Stegostoma tigrinum: one gene and its partners. The protein of the gene in region 2 interacts with the protein of the main gene of each other region in a biochemical or structural test. Links are inferred from orthologs where the notes say so. Each region holds a gene or a part of one and is shown on either strand. Other genes may lie near its edges.

Evidence for each region.
Region 1: the proteins of smad2 (region 2) and skia form a complex in vitro, tested with the Homo sapiens proteins (4 studies listed by BioGRID). The link is inferred for Stegostoma tigrinum from reciprocal best matches to the Homo sapiens genes SMAD2 and SKI.
Region 3: the proteins of smad2 (region 2) and zinc finger FYVE domain-containing protein 9-like are reported together in a solved structure, tested with the Homo sapiens proteins (2 studies listed by BioGRID and IntAct, with this or other methods). The link is inferred for Stegostoma tigrinum from reciprocal best matches to the Homo sapiens genes SMAD2 and ZFYVE9.

The regions. Positions count from the first base shown.
Region 1 is NC_081381.1:23,172,580-23,179,917, reverse strand, and holds the start of skia (v-ski avian sarcoma viral oncogene homolog a), read right to left. Parts: upstream 3,175-7,338; 5' UTR 2,743-3,174; coding exon 1,834-2,742; intron 1-1,833. UniProt on the Homo sapiens protein: May play a role in terminal differentiation of skeletal muscle cells but not in the determination of cells to the myogenic lineage. Functions as a repressor of TGF-beta signaling.
Region 2 is NC_081354.1:160,634,206-160,642,490, forward strand, and holds the start of smad2 (mothers against decapentaplegic homolog 2), read left to right. Parts: upstream 1-4,988; 5' UTR 4,989-5,418; coding exon 5,419-5,705; intron 5,706-8,285. UniProt on the Homo sapiens protein: Receptor-regulated SMAD (R-SMAD) that is an intracellular signal transducer and transcriptional modulator activated by TGF-beta (transforming growth factor) and activin type 1 receptor kinases.
Region 3 is NC_081361.1:64,109,349-64,117,331, reverse strand, and holds the start of zinc finger FYVE domain-containing protein 9-like, read right to left. Parts: upstream 3,288-7,983; 5' UTR 3,107-3,287; intron 3,094-3,106; exon of another isoform or gene 2,870-3,093; intron 1-2,869. UniProt on the Homo sapiens protein: Early endosomal protein that functions to recruit SMAD2/SMAD3 to intracellular membranes and to the TGF-beta receptor.

The DNA of each region.
Region 1 (7,338 bases), on a different chromosome or scaffold from region 2:
TCCGTCGTTTCACAATATCCACACAAGTCTCATTAACCACAACTTCCTGCCTTTACTGCACGCGATCTATACTTTTTGGCGGGACCTTCCCGTTTGCACGGCGAAATGTGTTGTTCATGGACTTCCAAGCTATCAAAGGAATCGCTTTAGCAAAACTCTGATGGATATCCAAGTAATATTAAGAATCCAGAATCTTCATGGATTGATCTCCAACAGAACAGCTTCTGGAATTGCCCCTTTAAAACTTGTAGAAAATATGGTTTTGCTCATATGGCACTAATGGTACTTTATTTTCTCTTAAATGTCTATTTTCTTGCATTACTTAATCATGTTCGTTTTTGCAGATGCATATAAAACCATCCTTCGTAATGTATGAGCTTAGTTCTCAAACCTTCAATCAGATCTTTAAATCAATTTTTACACAGAAATTAGTTTTTATTACCAAAAACACTGCAACAACTTTTTTTAAACTGAACTGTTCTTTCGGAAGCATATCTCCTACAACGACTTAAGCAATGCAATCCGATATTCCTTGGCACAGGTCTTTTTTTCTGCTTACTAAACTGTCTGTAATTGCCCAGGTAATATGTACAGTATTACAATAGGAACAAAAAAATCCAAAAGCGCGAGGGATTGAATAGGTACATTGACGATTTTGCTGTTTGACTTTCAATGTGCCGAGTATGCCTCATCGGCTTTTTAAAATTCGCAACAATTGATGCAAATGAACTGTTGAGCGTTTCCTTTTCAATTCAGTCAAGAGGTAGCCAAGGTTCACGGCCGTAACCTTTACCCACGCACAAAGAACAATCAATGCACTGTCTGCTATCTTCTCTTTGGAAATCAGAATGAAATGGGGTGGGATGGGTGCTGTTAGAGGAGAAAAATATAAAAATACAAACTTGTTTCATTTTTGGATGAACTATGGAATGAAATCCGAATTGATAGGTAAATAACGCACTTTGAGGTAGGAAAGTTTGTGATCTTTCCCGGCTTTTGAAGCGCAACATTATGGTAGCGTAGCTTCTTGAACAGTTTAGTTTTATAATTTGGAATAGATTGTCTGGACAGATTCAGTTTTTATTCTTAAATCGCGTCTATGTTTCCAATTGAAACGTTAGCAAACCTAAGTACAGCTATGATCATGTTGAAATCTAGTTTGAGTATAGAACGGATTAAACAGCTTCCCCAGTTTGCCTTTCGGCATTAAATCTCCTCAAGATCTGCTAAATTGATGTGGATTGGATAAAACACTGCCCTACACAGGCCATGCCTTGGCAGTTGTTCACAGAGTCAGCTCTCTCCATACAAATGCACATCTCACAAAACCACTCCCACATATTAGTGAGCAACGAAGCACACACCCTTGTCTGAAACTATCACATTGAACAGCCCAGTCAACTTAATGCTTCAACTTAGCACGTCATTATTTATAATGGGAAACGATTAAAATACATACACCTTCAAGTATTTAATGTATCATACATGATTTTAAAACCTCTCCGCCAAGTGAAGGGAAAGTACGTTGAGAAAGAGGTTCAAACACATAATTTCCACAAATTTAAAGAGAAACAAACTTCCAGAAACTGTTTATAGTACCATTACACCGGCATATACAGTATCGATACCTATGAAACCGAGAATTAATGATTTAACCTTTATTAAAGAATTGAGTTTATTGCGTTCAGTTCTGAGTCATGTTTGTAGTGCCTATTATTGACATTGAGAAACAAGTTAAAATATTAACCTTAATGTATTAAAAGCTCTGTACCGTAAACAGTTAACTTATAATCTATAAAAAAACTATGCGTCTTAAGTTCTAAAAACGCTCACCCTCGGTGCTTTTCTTTTGTATTTGTTGCTGTAGTCAAATCTTTCTTTCATTTCATCCAGTAATTGTTCCAATCGTGCCTTCTCCTCTTTTGCCGTGTAATCCTGACTCAAAAGGACATAGGCTCTCCAGTTGGCCGAATCGAAACCCCAATGGCAGGTTCTGTTTTCCAATGATTTGTGCGAGTGTACTACGAATTTGTGAGGAGGATACATCAGCCTACAGTCCATGCATTGGATACATGCAGCATGAGGATTACCGTACAATTCAGGCACAAAGAGTCCCTTGCACTTTCCAAAACACTCATGGTATACTTTGAAGCTTTTCTCTGTGATCTCTAACTCAATGGTGCTTGAGTATTCTTTTTTGCAATGGGGTGGGTAAGTTCCTCCATAGAGTAAGGCATTGCAAAGCCTCTCTGCGTCTGTCTTAGTAATTAAGCCACAAGATGGGGCAGAGAAGGGCAAGATCCCCATGACTTTCAAAATCTCCAGCTGGTCTGCCGTGCATCGAGAGCAGTAAATATGTAATTCATCGCATACCGAATTGATCTGTTGAAGGGAAAAATCTCTAAGGACGGAGTTCAGAATTTGAGGCAAGCAAAGCCTCTTCTCCCCACCAACCACGAAACAAGAAATGGTTTCCCCCTCCAGAATAGTCTCACATCTCTCCGTTGATCGGTCCGATGGGATGAAAAGGGGTCCTGGCATGACAGGAGGGGGCTGTATGGGTAGGTGAATAATCTGATCTGTTTCCTTCCCAGTTTCCTTTTTGTACATCATCTCGTGAGCCCATCGAGCAGAGAAAGCTGCGGGTCCTCCAAGCGAACTCATACTGCTGAGATGAAACTGCTTTAAGGTTTGTTGGAGTCCTGGGTGAGGCTGAAAACTAGATCTTGGTACAGTCTCCATGATTTTTGGCCCTAAAAAGCACACCCGTTTTGTATAAAATCAACTGAATCCTTTAAAAAGCCACGGCGTCCAAGTTTATCCCACCACCGCGTACAATATTAAAGTAGCTCATGAAATCCAGTCTCTAAGCGTGTTGTGTTTCTGCAGCACTCTTACGTTCAAACATATCCACAATCGTGCCCTTAAAAAGATCTTCAAGCAAATGCTGGTTAAACCAGTCCTTCGAAATCCAGTCCCCAATTGGTTTTAGACTGTACTTTGTTTCTTTTTTCTTCTTTTCAATCCTCTTTTACGATCTACAAGCGTAAAGACGCGGCACATCCACACAATACGACCTTGCAGCTCAGACTGTCTTCTCCCCTCTGTTTGTCGGCGTCTAGGTCAGGCATTGAATCTCAGCCAAGAATGCGTCTGACTCCCCCAGGGCTCTTCCAGGAACCAGCACACTGCCCACCGATTTCAACAGCAGGCTACAAACATGCAACAATTGGTTTCACAAACCAATAGCTTTTCAAACTGCCACGCGGAAGGGAGAGATTTTTTTCCAAAGTTCACTAGAAACCATTAATAACCGGGATTGGTCGCTGGCAGCTTCTTCTACAAAACACGTTCTGTGGTTTACAGATCGTCAGTTTGATCTAGTATAACGTAAGCGGGAGGGGTTTTTTGTCGTAAGCTGGACAATTCTACAATAAGTATTACTGTAACCTTGCGTTAATGAATAATTTTAAGAAATGCAATACACAGAACTCCATTTGTTTTGTTTTTAACATTATAAACTTTTGTTCTTTTTACATTATAAACCTTGCATGTACCAACTGTCTTGGTAAACTTTTGGTTTAGTGATATTTAATAGCAATCTGAGTTCCAAGTCAGATAAAAATTTTTTCTGAGGAAGGGTCCAGACCCGAAACATCAGCTTTCCTGCTCCTCTGATGCTGCCTGGCCTGCTGTGTTCATCCAGCTCTACACCTTGTTATCTCAGATAAATGTGGGTTCAACTTTCCAGAATTTCAACACAAAAGCTCGACACGCTTCTTCAATGCTGAAGCTTGATGTGCTGTCATAGGTGCTGACTTTTGGATGAGATGCTGGAATGAGCCCCCACCTGTCCTTTCAGTGGTGGTAAAAGATCGCTTTGCATTATATGAAAAGCAGGAAACTTATTCCTGGCCCATATTATGTCTCAATTAACATCACATTTGATGAAGAATCGCCAGATTTGAAGTGTTAATTCTGCTGTCATCCTACAGATGCTGCCAGACCTGCTGAGTTTCTCCAGCAATTTCTGTTTTTGGCACAAAATGTATTATTCTGGTCATTATCATTCAAAATACAGGTAGTTCATTGGCTGTAAAAGACTTTAACTTATCTGGTATTGTGAAGGTGCTATATAAATGTAAATCTTCTCATCTAACAGTTGTGTAATGTTGGGACAAACTCCAATTGAGTGTTGTCATTAAGATAACAAGGTGTAGAGCTGGATGAACACAGCAGGCCAAGCAGCATCAGAGGAGCAGGAATGTTGACGTTTTGGGCCGAGACCCTTCTTACTATCTCTTGAGTATTGTCATTTATCACTTCCCAGAATTATACTAGACAAATGACAGTGCCACAGTCAATGTATAATGTACACATGTTGTATAGGTGTAGTGAAATTTAACTCTAATGTAATTAAAGTTTGAATAAATTGCTGCAATTTGCCATCTTTGAATATATTTTCTTAATTATAGTGACTGTACCAATCTTTATGTTATCAGGCAATAATGCAGGAAGCGATAGGTGCAATTTTCAGTCTTTGCTGAATTAGTGAAATTCATCCAGCACAGTAAAATCCTCATTCCACAATCAACCAAAGCCTTACTCCTTAATTCCTTTTCGGTCATCTGGGTGTCTAATACAAGCAGAATCCAATCACAGTACTTCAGGATCAGAAGTCAATGAAAAATCAACAAGATACTGCTCTCTGTTTACTCAATTTAGAGTACGCACTCTTACTTGAATAGATATGCCTGACTTAGCCAAGACCAGAAAGTTTAGATCATTATGACAAGTGCTTAGAAATTTCCATCTGTGAACAGCATATTAGAATTCAACTAGCTAAATAATAACTTGAGAAATAGCATTAGATCTAGGTCATTCAGACTTTTGAGCCTGCTTCACTGCTTAATAAGATCATGGCCGATTTAATCTGCCCTTAACTCCACTCACTTGGCTGACTCCCATAACCTTTAACTCCCTTGTCTGTCCAAAATCTGTCTAACTCAATTTTGAACATTATTAAATTAGCCAGCTTTATCAGTTAACGGAGAAAAAAATTCCATAAACAAAACCCCATTCTCTGAGAGAAAAGAATCACATCCCTGTCTTAAGTGGGATGCCTCTTATAATTAAACTGTGTTTTGGACATGCTCAAGAGCATCAAGTTCCGAGAAGTGATGATCATCAACATCTGACCTTGTCCACCCATGTTGATACAACCGTCAAGAAAGCACAAAAACGCCTCAACTTCCTCAGGAGGCTCAGGAAATTCAGCATGTCTGTAAAAACTCTTATCAGTTTTTATAGATGCACCATAGAAAGCATTCTAACCAGATGAATCATGGCTTGGTATATGGCAACTTCTCCGCCTAGGACTCCAAGAAACTACAGAGAGTTGTGAACACAGCCCAGTCCATCATGCAAGCAAACCTTCCATTTATTGACTCCACCCATACCTCTCACTGCCTCGGAAAGACAGCCAACATAATCAAGGACCTCCCACCCCGGTTATAATCTCTTCCAACCTCTTCCATCAGGCAGAAGATACAAAAGCTTAAACATGTACCACAAGATTCAAGAACAACTTCTTCCTCACTGTTATTAGACTGCACTCAAAACAAAACTTTTCACTGTATCTAGGTACATGTGACAATAATAAATCAAGTTAAATCAAATCCTCATTCTAGCTTCCACCAGTGGAGGAAGCATTCTCCCAGAATCCACCCTGATAAACTGTCTCAGAATCTTATGTTTTTTGATAAAATCTATTCTCATTCTCCTAATTGCCATGGGAATTAACATAACTTGGTAGACTTGCTCTTTTAAAACAAATCCTTCATCCTAGGAATTAGTCAACTGAACCACCTCTAAACAGATTTCAATGCAAATGTGTCCCTTCTTAACTCAGGTGACCAGAACTGTACACAGTATTCTAAATGTGTCCCCATCAATGACTTCAGCAGTTGTATCAAGACATCCCTACATTTGTACACCAGCCTCCTTGCATTAAATGCCAGCATTTGTTTACCTTCCCAATTACTTACCATACCTGCATGCTGATGTTTTTGTGATTCATGTGCAAGGAGACCCAGCTCCCTGTGCTTTGCAGAATCCTGTTGCCTCTCTCCAAGTAGACTTTGAGATGAGCATGCAGCACTCCTGTCGTAGTTAGGTAGCTCCAACAATTGTAGGTCACCATATATATTTTTAATCAAAAATTGGAAAGAGCTTATCATGCATGCTAGTCCCAGTTGCACCAGGCATTGAATGCTATAATCAGTTATTCTTGAGGGGATCACTGCAAGATGTGACTGAAGTTGCAAGTTTCTTGTTTCTTAAAAAAAATTGTGGGTCCAGGAGGAGCAATACAACACCCTGCCTATCAAAACTCTTTCAAAATGCTATAATCTCTTCCCCTGCTCTTGGGACTTGTCATTCTGTTCAGTGCAGTAGCTGTTCCACTTTCCATCATTCAAATTGACAAGCTGCAGTATATTTTAAAGCATAATAAAGTTTCTTCTGCTCTGCACCCCAACCTCCACTTCTATAGAGTGCAACCTTTTCTCAATTACCCTTTTTGTACTTTCACGCTGTAGTTTCTCAGTGAAATTCCTGAATAGGAACAGTTTTGTTGATGTGTTCAATAAGGTATTCAACAAGGTTTCACATTGTAGAAGGATGAATCCACGTGGATTACAGGGAGATCTTGCCATTTGGATACAGAACTGGCTCAAATGTAGGAGACAAAGAATGGTGGTAGAAGGTTGCTTTTCAGACCGGAGGTCTATGACCAGCAGTGTGCCAGAAGGATCAGTGCTGTGTTCATGGCTTTTTGTCATTCATGTAAATAATTTGGATGTGAACGTAGGAGGTATGGTTAGGAAGTTTGCAGGTGACACCAAAATTAGTGGTGTAATGGAAAGCTAAGAAGTTTACCTCAAAGTACAATGGGCCTTGATCAGATAGGCTGATGAGCCGAGGAGTGGCAGTTGGAGTTTAATTTAGACAAATGCGAGGTGTTGCATTTTGGAAAGGCAAATCGGGGCAGGACTTATATACTGAATGGTGAGGTCCTGGAGATTGTTGCCGAGTAAGTATATTGAGCCTTTGTATAACGAAATTGTACAAGCATTTTTAAAAACATTTTAATTACTTTTTTAAAATCAATTTACTTTCTTCCACTGTCAGAAGCATTGACTCCCATTGGATACAGATTTAATTCCCTTATCACCTAATTAATTCATACTCTGAGTTTACACAGTCAGAATAAGTAGACTATTTAGTCATGGGAGCACACCATAAGCAAGTCAATTCTTATTCCTTGCTCACATCCAT
Region 2 (8,285 bases):
TTATTCAGAGATTGGTAAGGGCGTGGAACGCCCTGCCTGCCAATGTAGTTAACTCAACCACATTAGGGGCATTTAAACATCCTTGGATAAGCATATGAATGATGATGGGATAGTGTAGGGGGAGGGGCTTAGATTAGTCCACAGGTCGGCGCAACATCGAGGGCCAAAGGGCCTGTTCTGCGCTGTATTGTTCTATGTTCCAATAAAGACTGGCCAGCCAGTGATGCCCACATCACACAATTTTTTTAAAAAATGTGGCTCCTCAGGTACTGAAGCAGTCTATATTCAAATGCAAAAAGACCTGGACAATATCTGGGCTTGGGCTGAAAAGTGGCAAAGAGTTCCAAAGACACACAATTGTCAGGCAGTGACCATCTCCAAAAGAGATAATCTAACTATTGTCCCTTGACATTCAGTGGCATCACCAACACCGAATAATCCACTATCAACATCCTGGGGGTTACCATTGACCAGAAACTGAGCTGCAGATACCAGATAAATACAGTGGCTACAATAGCAGGACAGAGGCTAGGAATACTGTGGCAAGGAACTCACCTCCTGACTCCCCAAAGTCTGTCACCATCTACAAGGCACAAGTCAGGAGTGTGATGGAATACTGCTCAGATTCCTGGATGAGTGCAACACCAACAATACTCAAGCTGCTTGACACCATCCAGGACAAAGCAACCTGAAGAATGGTAATACCCAAAATGTTGACTGCTCCTTTCCGCCAGATGCTGCGTGGCCTGCTGTGTTCTTCCAGCCTCCTGTTTGTCTACAAAGCAACCTACTTGGCTGGCATCACATCCACAAACATTCAGTCATTCCACCAATGATGGTGAGATATAGCAGAGTGCCATCTACAAATACATTGTAGTAATTCGCCAAAGCTCCTTAGATAGTGCCTTCGAAAACCCAGAACCATCCATTTCTAGAAGGAGAAGAGCAGCAAGTAATGGGAACATCACCACTTACAAGTTCCCCTTCAAGCCACTCAGCATTCTGACTTGGAAATATATCACAGTTCCTTCAAATGTCACTAGGTTAAAGCCCTAGAGTTCTCTCCCTAACGCCATTGTGGGTCTATCAACAGTGAACGGGCTGCAGTGCACCAGATGTCAGCTCACCACCACCTTCTCAAGGGCAACTAAGGACAGGCAATAAATGCTGGCTCAGTCATTGACACCCGTGTCTCACAAGTGAATAAAAAAAATGTGTTGGTGTTAATTCTCCAAAGTTTCCTAGATTCTGGGAAGATTCTGTCAGAATGGAGAGCAACAAATATAACCCATGTATTCAAGAAGGAAGAGAGGTAGAAAACAGGAAACCATTGACAAGTTAGCTTGATATCTGCCATGGTCAAGGTGTTATCATTAAAGAAGTTACAGCTAATTTTATGGTCCAGACAAACTCGCCTCAAAAACATTTAAGATAGTTTGGGCTTCAACTTTTTCTTATTTTTAAAGGCAGGTGTAAGGTGTTGAGTCCTGGCTACAAATCAATTGGTCAACTACCAAGCTTGAAGCAGAACACACTTTATTTTTACATTTAGTAAAATGCAAACAAAAAAAAATTGGAATAACTTAGAGTCAGAGAATCATACAACAGCTGAGCATGGAAACAGACCCTTCAGTCCAACTCGTCAACACTGGCCAGATTTCCGAAATTAGTCTAGACCCATTTGCCAGCATTTGGCCCAAATTTCTTTGAACCCTTCTTATTCATATACCCATCCAAATGCCTTTTAAATGTTGGAATTGTAGAAGCTTCTACCACTACCTCTGGCAGTTCATTCCATACATCACCACCCTCTGTGTGGAAAAACAGCCCCTTAGGTCCCTTTTAATTTTTTCTCCTCTCACTTAAAACTGTGCCCTCTAATTTTAGACTCCCCTATCCTGGGGAAAAGACCTTGACCATTCACCCCATCTATGTCCTTCATGATTTTATAAACTTCTATAATGTCACACCTGAGCCTCTGACACTCTTGGGAAAATAGCCCCAGCCTATTCAGCCTCTCCCTGTAGCTCAAACCCTCCAAAAAGGATCCTAGGCAATCCAAAATGGAAGAAGGGGAAAAATTATGGTTGTAAGAGCTGCTCCTTTTTTTTGAGGTATTTTCAGGATTGGAACTGGTTTCCTTGCACGTTTGGAGCAGTAATTACTATTTTATAAGCTGTTGCATTGTTTTTTGGAGCTTAACTCTATTGGAAAGCTTAATAGAATAATAGATTATTTAACTTGTAAACAGTGACTGTTCCAATACAGTACCATTCAATAAACATATCCTTGGCAAAGGCAAATTCAGTAAAATAGATTGTCTTGCATGCAATTCTAGCAAGGCAAGAAGAGAACCCCAGCTTATTGCAGTAACAGGGAGAGAATAGCTTCCACATCCAGCTTCAAAAACCCAGCAACTGTTGAAAGCTTAAACTAAAATCCTGGTTCTGCAGGATCTTGACTCCACCCCTTCATGCCGTCCCTACTATTCCAACTTTCAAAAAAAAACCAAGGCACTTCCAGGCACTGGAGCAGTACCACCGATGCGGCCTGTGCAAGATCCTGTGAATCTGCTGGGAAGAAAGACGCAACACCAGCTTCATTGACCAGGCCAACATTCCCAGTGTCAAGGCACTTACTATCTTTGGTTGGTTACAATGGGTTGGATATGTCATCCACATGACCAAAATGAGACTCCCCAAGCAGGTGCTCTACTCCCAGCTTTCAAACAGCAGGCAAGCACCACATGCACTGAGGAAGTGCCTCAGTATTACCCTCACGCCTCACTGATGAAGTACAGCATTCCCACAGAGACCAAGACTGTCCAAAGTGAAGGAGGTTCATCCAGGAAGGCATCAAGAAGGCATTGAGACTTGCCATTGGGAAAAATTGGGAGGCAGGCGAAAACAGCGCAAGGACTGTTCTGCCACACCAGTTTCTCGTGAGCACTACCTGCCCCAAATGTAACAGAGCCTATGATAGTCAAATTGATTTGTACAGCCACCTATGGACTCACCCTGACAATGGAAGTGTCATTCTCATCTGCGAAGGACTGCCGATGGTGATGCAGATATCCCAATTATTAAGGCTAATAGACTGCTATCCTTTATTACAAAAGCAATTGAACATAAAACTAGAATACTAGGGCATTGGTGAGACCACTTCTGGAAAACTATGGTTTCTTTACCCAAGGATGTAAAGCATTGGAAGTGTTTAGTTGAGGTATGAACAGGTTGCCCTCTAAGGAAATGTTGTACAGTCTGGGTTTGTTTCTACTGGAGTTTAGGAAAGTCTTTGTTGAAGTCTACAAGATCCTTAAAGGTGGCTATGAAGAGGATATGAGATAACAAGATGCAGAGTGGGATCAACACAGCAGACCAAGCAACATCAGACAAGCAGGAAGGCTGACGCTTCGAGCCTATGGTTGAGCACAGAATTAACGGGTACTGTTTGAAAATTAAGAAATGCCTTTTGGGGCGTAAATTGTTTACTGTTAAGTTTGTGCGTGGGTTGGGAACATTCTGCCTCAGAAGATAATTGTTTGGGTCATCAAACAATTTGAAGTTGGAAGCAAGGGAATGAAAGTTATTGGGTTAGAGGGAAGTGTAGAATTCAAACAAACAGATCAGCTAGAATCTTCTTTAACAGTGGAGCATTGGTTCGAGGGGCCAAATGGTCTACTCTGTTCCTAATTTGCATGTGATAGAAAATGTGAAAAAATATTGCATATACATAGGGGCGACTTGGTGGTTAGCACTGCCGCTTCATAGCACCAGGGACCCAGGTTTGATCCCAAGCTTGAGCGACTGTCTGTGTGGAGTTTGCACATTCTCCCCGTGTCTGCGTGGGTGTCCTCTGGGTGCTCCGGTTTCCTCCCACAGTCCGAAGATGTGCAGGCTAGGTGGATTGGCCGTGCTAAATTGCCCATAATGTTCAAGGATGTATAGATTAGGTGTGTTATAGGGGGATGTGTCTGGGTGGGATGTTGAGGGTCAGTGTGGATTTGTTGGCAGAAGGGGATGTTTTCACACTGTAGGGACTCATGATTTATACAAAATTATTCATAAATATGTAACATAACGGTGGCAGATGTAGGGGTTCAGATCAGATCAAGACAAGAAATGGCTTGTTAATCTAGTTTTGAAACACAATTATTGCCACATACTTAAAATAGTTTTCAGCCCTTTACCATTCATAAAACAATGAGATAATTGGAGTTTTAAGGTTGGACTTTTTTGACGGTGGTGCTGAGGAGATAGGTTCAAGGCTGCAAGCAAAATGCCCACCAGTCTGTTTAATTTTCAACTCTTTTGATATCTAGGATTTCAAAAGCACTGAAGCCTGGATACTAAACAATATCAATACAAAAACCAAATGTTCAAACTGCATGTGTTTCACGCTAATAGTAGCCATCCCAGAATATATCAAGTTGGAAGATGCTCCAATTAGTGTACATGATAACTAAGCAATTCTAACACAAAGTAGAAAGCTGATGAGAAAATTCAAACTGTTCTTCCTTGCATTGAAAATCCAGCAGATAGGAGTGAGCCGGCGGAAGAATACACCCAAAGGGCATTTTGAATAATAAGCTCATATAATAGGTAACTTTAACTGATAGGCCAATTTAACAACGTTTGGATTTATATTAGCAAAAAAAATGGATTTCCAGCTTTCAATTCAAGTCCTTTCCGCATCGAAAAAGGTGATTAGTTTGAACGTAACCGCTGGAACTATTTCAAGTGGAGGAACACACCCCTTGATCGTTTTGCCTTCCCCCTCCTTCCCCAAAGAAAGGGAGGAAAAAAGTTTTGCTGAGGCATCAACCAAACCTGTTAACCGGACGTTCCCCGCGCACTGTTGGATTGATTGACGGGGGATTCTGTCCAATAGGCGCGCGGTATGTGGCCGAATGGCGGGGCGTCTGGGGCAGGCGGGCCAATGAGAGTGGGGGACGCGCGAGCGCTGGGGGTGGGATTTCCAGGTGGAGAGAGCGGTCGGGGGGAGGCTGTTTAATCGTTTTTCTCCGTCAATCAAAGAAAAAGGGAGCGAAGAGGCCAGCGGGGAGCGAGGGAGAGAAAAAATAAAATAAAATCTCCTCAGGGGAGGATGTGAGAATTAATAATAAATTACCCAGAAGGCTAACGACATTTTTTGAGGGCAATTTTGATTTATTTTCTCTCGAATCGTCTCGGTTGATAAGCGGCGGTTAGCGAGCAACGCGAGGCACAATTGTGTGAAATTTTGAATCGTGATTGCCGTTTTCTTCCCCTCCTTTTCCAGCCTCAGTTAGCCCCTTTTATTGTTATTTTCCTCTTCTTCTTTACCTTTCTCATTTTTCCCCCTCCCTCCCACCCACCGTCGCCCTATACCCCCACGCCCCCGCCCCCCCATTCCCACTCCCCATTCCTGGCTCGAACCATGTCGATCTTGCCCTTCACGCCGCCCATCGTCAAGCGTTTGCTGGGCTGGAAGAAAGGCGGCGAGTCGCAGTCTCCGTCTTCTCAGTCTCCGTCGCAGGCGCCGCCGCCGCCGCAGCAGCAGCAGCAGCAACAACAGCAGCAGCAGAACAACGGGCAGGACGACAAATGGTGCGAGAAAGCCGTCAAGAGCCTGGTGAAGAAGCTGAAGAAGACGGGCCAGCTGGACGAGCTGGAGAAGGCCATCACCACCCAGAGCTGCAACACCAAGTGCGTGACCATCCCCAGGTAAGGAACGCCTAGCTTCTGCCAAACCTCTCTTCCTAAACTGTGCAGCCAGGTTAAGTTGTTACATTTTAATGATACACTTTTTTTGGGACAAGTTTATCTTTGTTATTTTAAAAGTCAACTCGATTATTTACCAACGAGTGTATCCGTAGGCCCTGTGGCCAAATGCACGATTGTTTCACTTTTTTTATTTTCGGAATCTGAGGGAAATATTTTGTTCCAGTTTCTGCTAATTATAAACATTGGTAATACTTGACACTTGGTTGATGTGTATTTAGATTTTTAGAAATGTGTATTAACTTTGTAATTTTAGGTTGTAACTTCATTAATGTAGCTTTGTTCAAAAACCATAATAATTTTCTTGATGATAAAAAGGGACAGTTTTATTCCATTGAACAGCATACTGGTTTGGATAAATTTGTAATTTTTGTGATAACATGGTGTGAAGCTGGATGAACACGGCAGGCCAAGCAGCATCAGAGGAGCAGGAAAGCTTGACGTTTTGGGTCGGGACCCTTTTTTCAGAAACTTTTTTTATCTTCAGTTAGCATAAAAATAAGTTGTTATTACTGTTTGTTGAAGGTTAGTGTTTTCTGCTCAAGTACAGACTCAAGCCCCTGGTTAATGCTTTGGATTTGATATTAGAACTTTTTATATAAAACATTGTTAGGGGGAAATCAGGGTTTTCCTTTTTTGGCATATTGTTAAAGTTGCATTTCTTATCAGTCTGTGTTGCCTCGAGAAAGTGCTCCTTACAGTGATGGTTTCATGAAGGTGTTTGATAGGAAACTTCAGTATTTTGATTATGTCTGTTAGAATGGTAGTACTTGGAGGTGGCAGTATTTCCATACCACTGTTTTTGCCTCTTCGGTAGCAATAGTTACGAATGTGGTTAACTTTTTTCCATTTTATACGGAGAAGCGCATGCAGGATGTAAGTAGCTGTCATTAGGATGATTTTAATCTGATTTCTTTAGTGGATAGTTTCTTGAAACAAATGTTTTGAGATTCCATTAAAATATTTTTACAGAATTTGTTTTTTGTGCTCAACTTTTTTCCCTTTTAAAATGGATGCACTTTCTTAAATGCCATGGCAAAAATAAAGAAGGGCTCTTTTTCCTGAAATTCACATCTGATCCCCTAGCGGAAATAAGAAATGTTTATTCATCTGAGCCAAAATGATGGAACTATTGTGTTTATCTTGGCATGCTATCGTTTTCTCGCCCAAATAAGGGGCACAGAAGACATAGTGAATATATTATAACTGCAGTCCCTTTCTGCAGTTTAGTTCTGAGTCATTTAGGCTGGTAGCCTAGTTAATAACTGAGAGGAAAAACAATGACCTTTTTAGTTAATAGTCATTCCATTTTTTAATTCATCACATGTTGTGGAGCATTTCCATTTAAAAACCTGCCTGTGTTCTTGTAGAAATTTATTGTAGACTCCTGGAATGTCGTGAGTTTTTATTTCCTGGAACAGAATCTTCAATTGTTCTAATTTGTAACAACTCAAAATTTGAACTGTAAGCTGAACAGAATCATTGGATAATTACAGCATTAGCAGAAGATACTGAAAATCCTCAGTATCTGATGCAAATGGATAATGTTGGAGATCTTCAAACAAAAACAAGTTATGTCCCTGTTAATGGCCTGTTTTTACATATTTGAATACTGATGAAGTTATTTATGCATTTCCAGCATTGTGTTTTCCCATTATGGAAAAGTGGCGAAAAACCCAAATGATTTATTAGCCTAAATTATCTTTCCTTTTTAATGTATTCATGTAATTTATTTAATGCTGACTGTGTCCAACAGGTTTGGGTAAGAACCAAGTTCCAGCATTATTTAATATGCATCTTGAGTGTGTATTCCAGTTTGGTGCAAATGTCCAAAGCTCATCTTTAGCATTGATCTATAAATTTTACACCAGTTCGATCTACGTGGAAATGGGATGGATTTATTTATGGTTGTATAGCTAGTAATATTTTAAAGTTGGCTAGTTCTGCCAATAGGAGTTCACTGGCAAATGTGAATCAGACCTCTAATAGTGTAAATTTAATTTTATTTCTGTGTATTGAATATTTTGCTGTTTCTAGAATCATGAGGCCATTTGGCCCATCATATCTGTACATGATTTGTGAAAGCTATCAAAAGTTAGTTTCTTGTCTTTTCTCCCCCCATAAATTCCAGCATACTTTTGTATTTCAAGTATTTATTCAATTTCTTTTGAAAACTTAAGTCAGCTTCCATCATACTTTCAAGCAATGCGTTACAGAATGAGTCAATTTAACAACTTTTTCTCCTCTTGTTGCCTTTTAATCTCTTTGGTTGCCTTAAATGTGACCTTCTGTCACTGGGAAATAGCTTTCTCACTTGTTCTCCTGGAAGCCTTTTTTTAAATGTCCCTCCTATTTTTTTCTCCTTCATCTCTGTTGTAAGGTACATAAATGTGCTTTTTGTCATCTTTTCATAGTGAAATGTTTTTTCCTGGTATCACTGTAATAAATCTCCTGTATGTCTTTCCTAATTGTTGACATCAGTGCCATTGGCTGTTCTAGTATCAAGTTAAGACAATGTGCCCC
Region 3 (7,983 bases), on a different chromosome or scaffold from region 2:
CACAAAGAATACAAAAGTCAAGAGCACAGGTGATGAATTCAACTTTTCTAGGTGGACTGAAGCAATCAATGAGTGTTAATATGGAGTTTTTGGACATAAAAGGATATTGGATCAGAATAGCAGTTAAGGATCAAACCGAATGCCAAGGATTCAAACAATATAAATCAATCAGTCATGAAATGAAGGCTGGGTTGAGCTGCTGAAACAGAGTTTCTGATGGAAAGCAGGAAAATCAGGCAGCATGCTGGGATGTGCTGAGGATCAGTGTGGACTTGTTGGGCCAAAAGGGCCTGTTGCCACATTGTAGGGATTCTATCTTAAAAAGTGGCTTCAGTTTTCACCAATGATTAACCAAGAAAAAATTCCCACATCTCCAAGGTTTGTCAGTCCAGCAACAAGGAAGCAACGGGGGTCAATACAAATGATGAAATCTAGGAGCTGGGTATCTTGCATGTGTATATTGGAACATGACCCCGACTCTTCGCACAAAGTTACCATAGTCAGGCAGTATAACAGCAAGTGATTGACAATACGTTCTTCAAAATGTTTGGCAAATATCTCTCAAACCAAATGACAAAATCTATGATTCAGTTTAATCAACATCATCTTTTACCATGCACCGATAATAAATTATGTTTATTGTACGACAAATGCCCAAGTATTACTGCTAAAAAACAAGATCATGAAATACAGTAACATTATAGATTGTTACGACTGCAAACAATTTGACCTAGGAGTTATCACAGTCCAAAATTCTTGTGTTATCTTTAAAAGCAACCCAAAGACTCCATATTTACTGTTTTGATTTACACAAGATGGCCTCCAATCTCCCGTTTGGCATTTATTTCCTTAAAACTAGAACTTCAGCTAACTTTGAAATTTAACGAAAGACAGATGATTTGCTTATTACAAAAAAAATTGGAGTCAAAATGTTAAGTACAATAAGAAACTTGTTCAACTGCAACCATCTACATAAATCTCATATTTCTTTGGCAGTAGCTTTGGTTCAGCAATAGCACACTCATCTTAGTTACAAGGTCAAGTCTTGTTACAGAGACTTAAGCACATAATCTTAGCTGAAAAAACAAGCTGGAAAATAGTGTTGCATCTTACTCAAATAAAAGCAGTAAACTAGAGCACATCTGGAGAAATACAATCTGTATTTTAACAGGGTGGAAGAGGTCTCCACACAACCTGGCCAACATTTAATGTTGAACCCAAAATCACCAAACTGGAAAAATGCTTTGGCAAGTGCTAAGGCAGTGAAAGACTCAAAGCAATTCAAATTGCTTATTCCCTTCCACGTGTGCATAATTCTCCTTTGAAATAGGTTATGGTACCATCTCATGAGCTATTTGAATTGAACAGTGCCATTTTATAAAATAAAATCTTGACTTTTTTATCTATTAAGAACATGGACATTAAGCAGCATGTTAAAAAATTCCATATACAAGTCAAATGAAGGCCAAAAACAAAAATAATTCTTAGAAAAACAACACCCAATAAAGTAAGAATTTTGAGATCGGAACTGAAATGCTGCAGAGATCTCTTCTAGTGGAGGGCAGAAGAGGGGTTGACATAGGCACAGTTGAATCGCAGATGTCATGGCATGGTTACAAACGAGCTACAGCAGACACACGAGAATGCAGCAGGGCAGATGAACGTGGCATGCCATGACAGCAGATCTCCTGGCAGAAGCAGCTATAAACAGGAGTACTGACAATCCCAAATTTTCTTCCTCATTACTACTGTCAAAATTTACAATGGTGAAAATTCCTTAATCTCTGTTCCAGTTAACTAATCCCAATTCAGCAAGCATTTTTCATAAACACATTTTCCCATCTCACCCTTTAAAAACTCAAATGTTAATCGCAACTAAATTGCAAACTTAATTTCTTAATCCTCTAACAAACTGACATAATTCGTTCACGGTACCAACTTAGCGCTCTCCCTCTTTACGAAACAGCCAGACCTGCTTTCCACACTAAATGCACGGCAGTCAGCAACTAGCAACTGCAGGACTACTGTCATACAAAGCTTATTGTTCCTTTCCAGTAAGGAATCACACAAAGTAACTTTTTTAAGAATCATTGTACACTCAGCAATCTAAAAGTTAAAGATGAATTTTGACACGGATCACTGAATTTCGAAACCTTCGGTTGAATTGTGTGTAGTCGTTTCTTCGTCCCTGTGCTCCAAAAAAGTAAGCATAAAAAGTATGCAGCGAACCTTCAGCATTACTCAATATCATTGCTACAATTTATAATATTTAAGAACAAAGTTGTTGGGAGACAGAAATATTCCCTAGACATCGTAGGGTAAAACTGGCTAAAACCAACGACTGATCTCATTTGTTTTGGATCCAAAAAGCGTCCTGCACTATTTTGTCTCTGTCGTCGTTTGCACTTTACAACAGAACCCGGAGGTTAATAATGAGAAAACTTTTTAGCATGATTCTGCGGCACATTTTGTTTTGACGGGAGACGATAAGGGCTGTATGACCTCTGCACCCACTGTTCGGAATTGCGAAAATCTTGTGGTTTTTGTCTATGAAGATTACGTGTTTTACGAAGGTGCGAAGCAGTTTTTACAAACAGATCAGGACACATCTTTTGCAGTTATGCTTTCTGTTAATGAAAGCCAAGTCAAATCTATTCCTAGTCAAAACGCAGTAGTGCCGTCAAGCCCAGGAGTTACACCCTGCAAAATAAACGAATGAGTCCCACCCTCCCCCACCTTCTGTGCCATGTACGATTGCTTTAATCCGCAGCATTTAAATCTAGGACTAATGACGAAATTCAAATATTTGCAGACTTGCTAGACAAGGCACAAACCAATCTCTCTCGCGCGCGCACACACACACACACACCTTCCCGAAAAAAAAATCGTGCTCAGAAAGCCAGGCGGTGGACTATTTCAACACTGTCTTCTTAGGCCTACCCGAAGCATGGGAGTAAGTGCTTCGGTAATATCCGCAAAGCACACGCTTGCCCTCGGCTGCCATCTCCTCAGCAGGCGCAATATCCAGCGAGCCGTCGGGGTCGCACGGAGGGCGGTCCAAATCCCTTTAAACAATTCACATCGCTCCCGGACTTTGTTTCCTTACCAGACGCGGGTTCATCGCTTCCAAGACGGGGTTGAAGAATGTCGCCGGCCACACCGTTGGTCGCTATTATCCACTCTGCATCTTAATAGGCAAGATCCGCAACGCTTCACCCTCTCCATCGACATCAACTCAACAGCCATCCATCACGCGCTTGACGTTTGGAAAATACCAGCGGCAGCCTTCCAACCGCCAATCCGACCGCGCCATCCAATCTGACCAATCACCAGTCACTCCCGCCCACCCTCCACAGACACGACCCCTCAACTGACCAATCCGTATCCTCAGAACATACGCCGCTTGAGCGAATCGCCAATCAGATAGTTAGGACTTGAACGACTATTTTCAATTGGTCTATATCTTACCTGCTTCTGCGAACAGCTCCTCAGATCCGTACTCCCGGAGCAGCGACTGGTTCTTTTCATGAGCACGTTACAGCGATGGCTTGTAAACTGTTTGGCGCATTTGTTGCTTCGTTTCCATTGAAGCAGCGGTCAAGAGTAAACACTGTCCAGATAATTTCATAAACAAAGACGGCCTAGATATTTAAAATCCGCATGGAATGAGGTCATTCGGCCCATATTCTCCATGCTGGCGCTTTGCCAGAAACAATTGAATTAGGTATGTCCCCCTACCTTTTTAACTTTTGCGCCGCACTTTGTTTCCCTTACTTATATAATGACCCAATTCTCTTTCAATGGCATGATCGAACCCATCCCCATCACACTCTCGGGCAGTGCATTTTAAAAGGTTTAACTCAAGTTTTGACATTGTTTCATTTGCTGGTTAGCTTTAATCTCGGGTTTTGGGCTCTTCCGCAATAGGAAATCTTTCGCTCTATCTACTCTGTCACACTCTTTCATCATTTTGAATATGCCCATCAAAATCTCATCTCAACATTCTCTTTGCCAGGACCCAATTTCCCCAGTCTAATCATGTAGCTGAACTTTTCGCTGCTTGGAATGATTCATGTTAACTTTGCTGTATGCTTAAAGTCTTCCAAAACTGTAGTGCTCACAACCGGACATAATACTGAAATGTGTACAAGTTTATCACAACTTGCTTGATGTTGTACTGTATATTTCTTTCAATAAAGCGGAGGAGCCTGCATGCTTTATTAGACATTCTTGCATGCTATTCTATCACATACAGTTATTAATTGCACATATGCTGAATGTCCTTCTGCTCCCGCATAGACAATGGCAACAAAGTTGGAAAAATAATGAAAACGAAAACATCAGAATCTTCACTTCGAGAAAACGTAATTTTCGCGTTGAACTTTGACGCTCTTAAAGAATCACACTTTTGCACAGCGACATCTTTCCCATGTATTTGCATCTCATTATTAAGCCAACTCACTTTGTTCCAAGCCTTCCTAAAAATCTAGATGGTACAAGTTCCAGACATGTCAATAATTACCATGATTACCATTCTCAGCAAACTTTCGTCCACAGAAGTCAGCATCGGCAAACCACAAGCCTGCACCATCGTGACGCTCTGGGTTGAAATCTCACACCTCTTCTATTCTTTAACGTTTGATTTTGGAGCGCAGGGGCAATATGATTTACATTCTTCTTCAAATAACTTTATATTCAGAGACACATGTATCTACATATAAGGCAACTTAGGACTCTTCGCTTGCTTTCTTGGTACTCCCTCCCTTTATGCTGCAGCTGTACAAAACTCTGGTGCGGCCGCACTTGGAGTATTGCGTACAGTTCTGGTCACCGCATAATAAGAAGGATGTGGAAGCTTTGGAAAGGGTGCAGAGGAGATTTACTGGGATGTTGCCTGGTATGGAGGGAACGTCTTACGAGGAAAGGCTGTGAGGGACTTGAGGCTGTTTTCATTAGGGAGAAGAAGGTTGAGAGGTGACTTAAGTGAAACATATAAAATAATCAGAGGGTTAGATAGGGTGGATAGGGAGAGCCTTTTTCCTAGGATGGTGACGGCGAGCACAAGGGGGCATAGCTTTAAATTGAGGGGTGAAAGATATAGGACAGATGTCAGAGGTGGTTTCTTTACTCAGAGAGTAGTGAGAGAATGGAACGCTTTGCCTGCAACAGCAGTAGATTCGCCAACTTTAGGTATATTTAAGTCGTCATTGGATAAGCATATGGACGTACATGGAATAGTGTAGGTTAGATGGGCTTGAGATCGGTATGACAGGTCGGCACAACATCGAGGGCCGAAGGGCCTGTACTGTGTTGTAATGTTCTAAGTTCTATGTTCCCTCGCTTTGCACGTAGAGGTTGCTTGCTTTTGCATTGCATTGCTTTTTATCACAGAAAGGCAGGCAGCTTGTCATGGTTCAGAGTACTGAACGGTTAAGCGGGTGGATATGCTGCTGTATGCCATCAGGCTACATCAACACCACACCAACAGCATGTGTCACCAGATTAAGCAGCAAACACGTGGCATGTGCTTTTAGGCTTGCCCTTTTGACATTTTAATCAAAATGCTTTTCTATGTAAAAGGTGTCTATTTTGGAAAATCAAAGAGGACCAGCTCTCTGTGGGGTGGAGGAAGCTATAGTCAGTCCAAAGGTTCAATAAGCAACATCCATTTCAAGTGCAGAGTGTTATCCATAGTCAGTTAGGCACTTAGCCATATCAGAAGATTAGTGTCCTTGCAGAGTGGGAATTGGGTCATGGTCATTAAACAATAAATCATTGGAGAAAAAATGTAATGTAATATTTGAGAGAGATTTTAATCTTCATACAAACTTGAACAATGACATTGCCAAATGGAAGAACTCATCTGGAAGTTGAGTTTGCAGAATGTCTTCCTTAAGCAACATATTGTGGAATAAATGAGCTAAAGCTGCTTCAGATCTAGCATTGTGCAATGAGAAAAGATTAATTTTGTAGTGCCTTAGCAAAAGATCCACTGGGAAGTAGTAATCCTAATACTTTTGAATTCCGCATTAAGTTTGAAAACAACATACTTAGAGCATTAACAATTCAAACATAAAGACAATTATGGTAATGCGATGGAATAAAAGCTTGAGATTGATTTTGTAAAGCAAAATATATGGTGGAAAATGAAAAATGGGAAATATTTAAATAAACAATTTTTACTGTTTTAAATTATTAAAATAAGATTAACATAGCAAAAAGGCAATCCTAACTGCTTTGCATGCACAAACCATTCAGAATAAGATAAATGGTGCAAATTGAGGAAATGGAAATGATCCACTTGCCATTCCAGAGGCATAGTTCCAATGAGATCAAATTCAGAACATCACATTCAAAGATATTTGACTTTTTGGAAAGGCAGGAGGGAAGAAAAAGATTGTAGGGTGCACAGTTCATAAGAGGAGTTAAGAGAAATGAGAACTGTTGTGAGAGATAATCTATACTCAGATGATGTAAAGTCCATTTGAGCGGAGTCAAATAACAACAGCTAAGCAAAACCTTGGTTCGGCCAGATCTGGAGTAATGTGTCCAATTCTGGTCGCCTCATTACAGGAAAGATGTGGAAGTGTTGAAAAAGGTGCAGAGGAGATTTACCAGGATGTTTCCTGGAATGGAGGGAAGGTCTTACAGGAATGCTTGACAGTGCTAGGGCTTTTCTCTTTAGAACAACAAAGGATGAGAGGTGACTTGATAGAGGTGTACAAAATGATCAGAGGTACAGTAGGTATAGATAGAGTGGACAGCAAGACACTTTTTCCGAGAGTGGAGGTAGCGATTACAAGGCGGCATAGTTATAAAAGTGAGTGGAAGTAGATACAGGAGAGACAGAGGCAGGTACTTTACTCAGAGAGGTAGGGACGTGGAACGCATTGTCGGAGAGGATAGTGGATTTGGCCTCATTAGGGGCATTTAAGCGGCTATTAGGCATATGGATGATCGGATAAGGTATGGGTGGAGGTTAGATAGACCTGAGGTTTAGGGTAAAAGTTTGGCACAACATCATGGGCCAAAGGGCCTGTACTGTGCTGATAGTTCTATGTTCTATGTTATAAGGGAAAGAAAACACTGCGACGAGTACTGTATGGACCCCCAAATAGTAGCCACACCATAGGAAAGTGTACAAAGCAACAAAAAATAGGAGTACATGAAAATAAGAGAACAATAATTATGGTGACTTTAATCTTCATGTTGATTAAGATAATCAAGGTGGAAAGGGTGGCTATGGCAACAAATTTATAGAGTGCATTACGAATAATTGACTCGAGCTATACACCATGGAGGAAAGCAGGGAACATTCTATCCTTGGTTAATGGGAACTGCAGATGCTGGAGAATCCAAGATAATAAAGTGTGAAGCTGGATGAACACAGCAGGCCCAGCAGCATCTCAGGAGCACAAGAGCTGATGTTTCAGGCCTTGACCCTTCATCAGAAAGGGGGATGGGGTGAGGGTTCTGGAATAAATAGGGAGAGAGGGGGAGGCGGACCGAAGATGGAGAGAAAAGAAGATAAGTGGAGAGTACAGGTGGGGAGGTAGGGTGGGAATAGGTCAGTCCAGGGAAGACGGACAGGTTAAGGAGGTGGGATGAGGTTAGTAGATAGGAGATGGAGGTGTGGCTTGGGGTGGGAGGAAGGGATGGGTGAGAGGAAGAACAGGTTAGGGAGGCAGAGACAGGCTGGGCTGGTTTTGGGGTGCAGTGGGGGGAGGGGAGATTTTGAAGCTGGTGAAGTCCACATTGATACCATTGGGCTGCAGGGTTCCCAAGCGGAATATGAGTTGCTGTTCCTGCAACCTTCAGGTGGCATCATTGTGGCACTGCAGGAGGCCCATGATGGACATGTCATCTAAAGAATAGGAGGGGGGAGTCGAAATGGTTCGCGACTGGGAGGTGCACTTGTTTATTGCGAACTGAGCGGAGGTGTTCTGCAAAGCGGTCCCCAAGCCTCCGCTTGGTTTCCCCAAT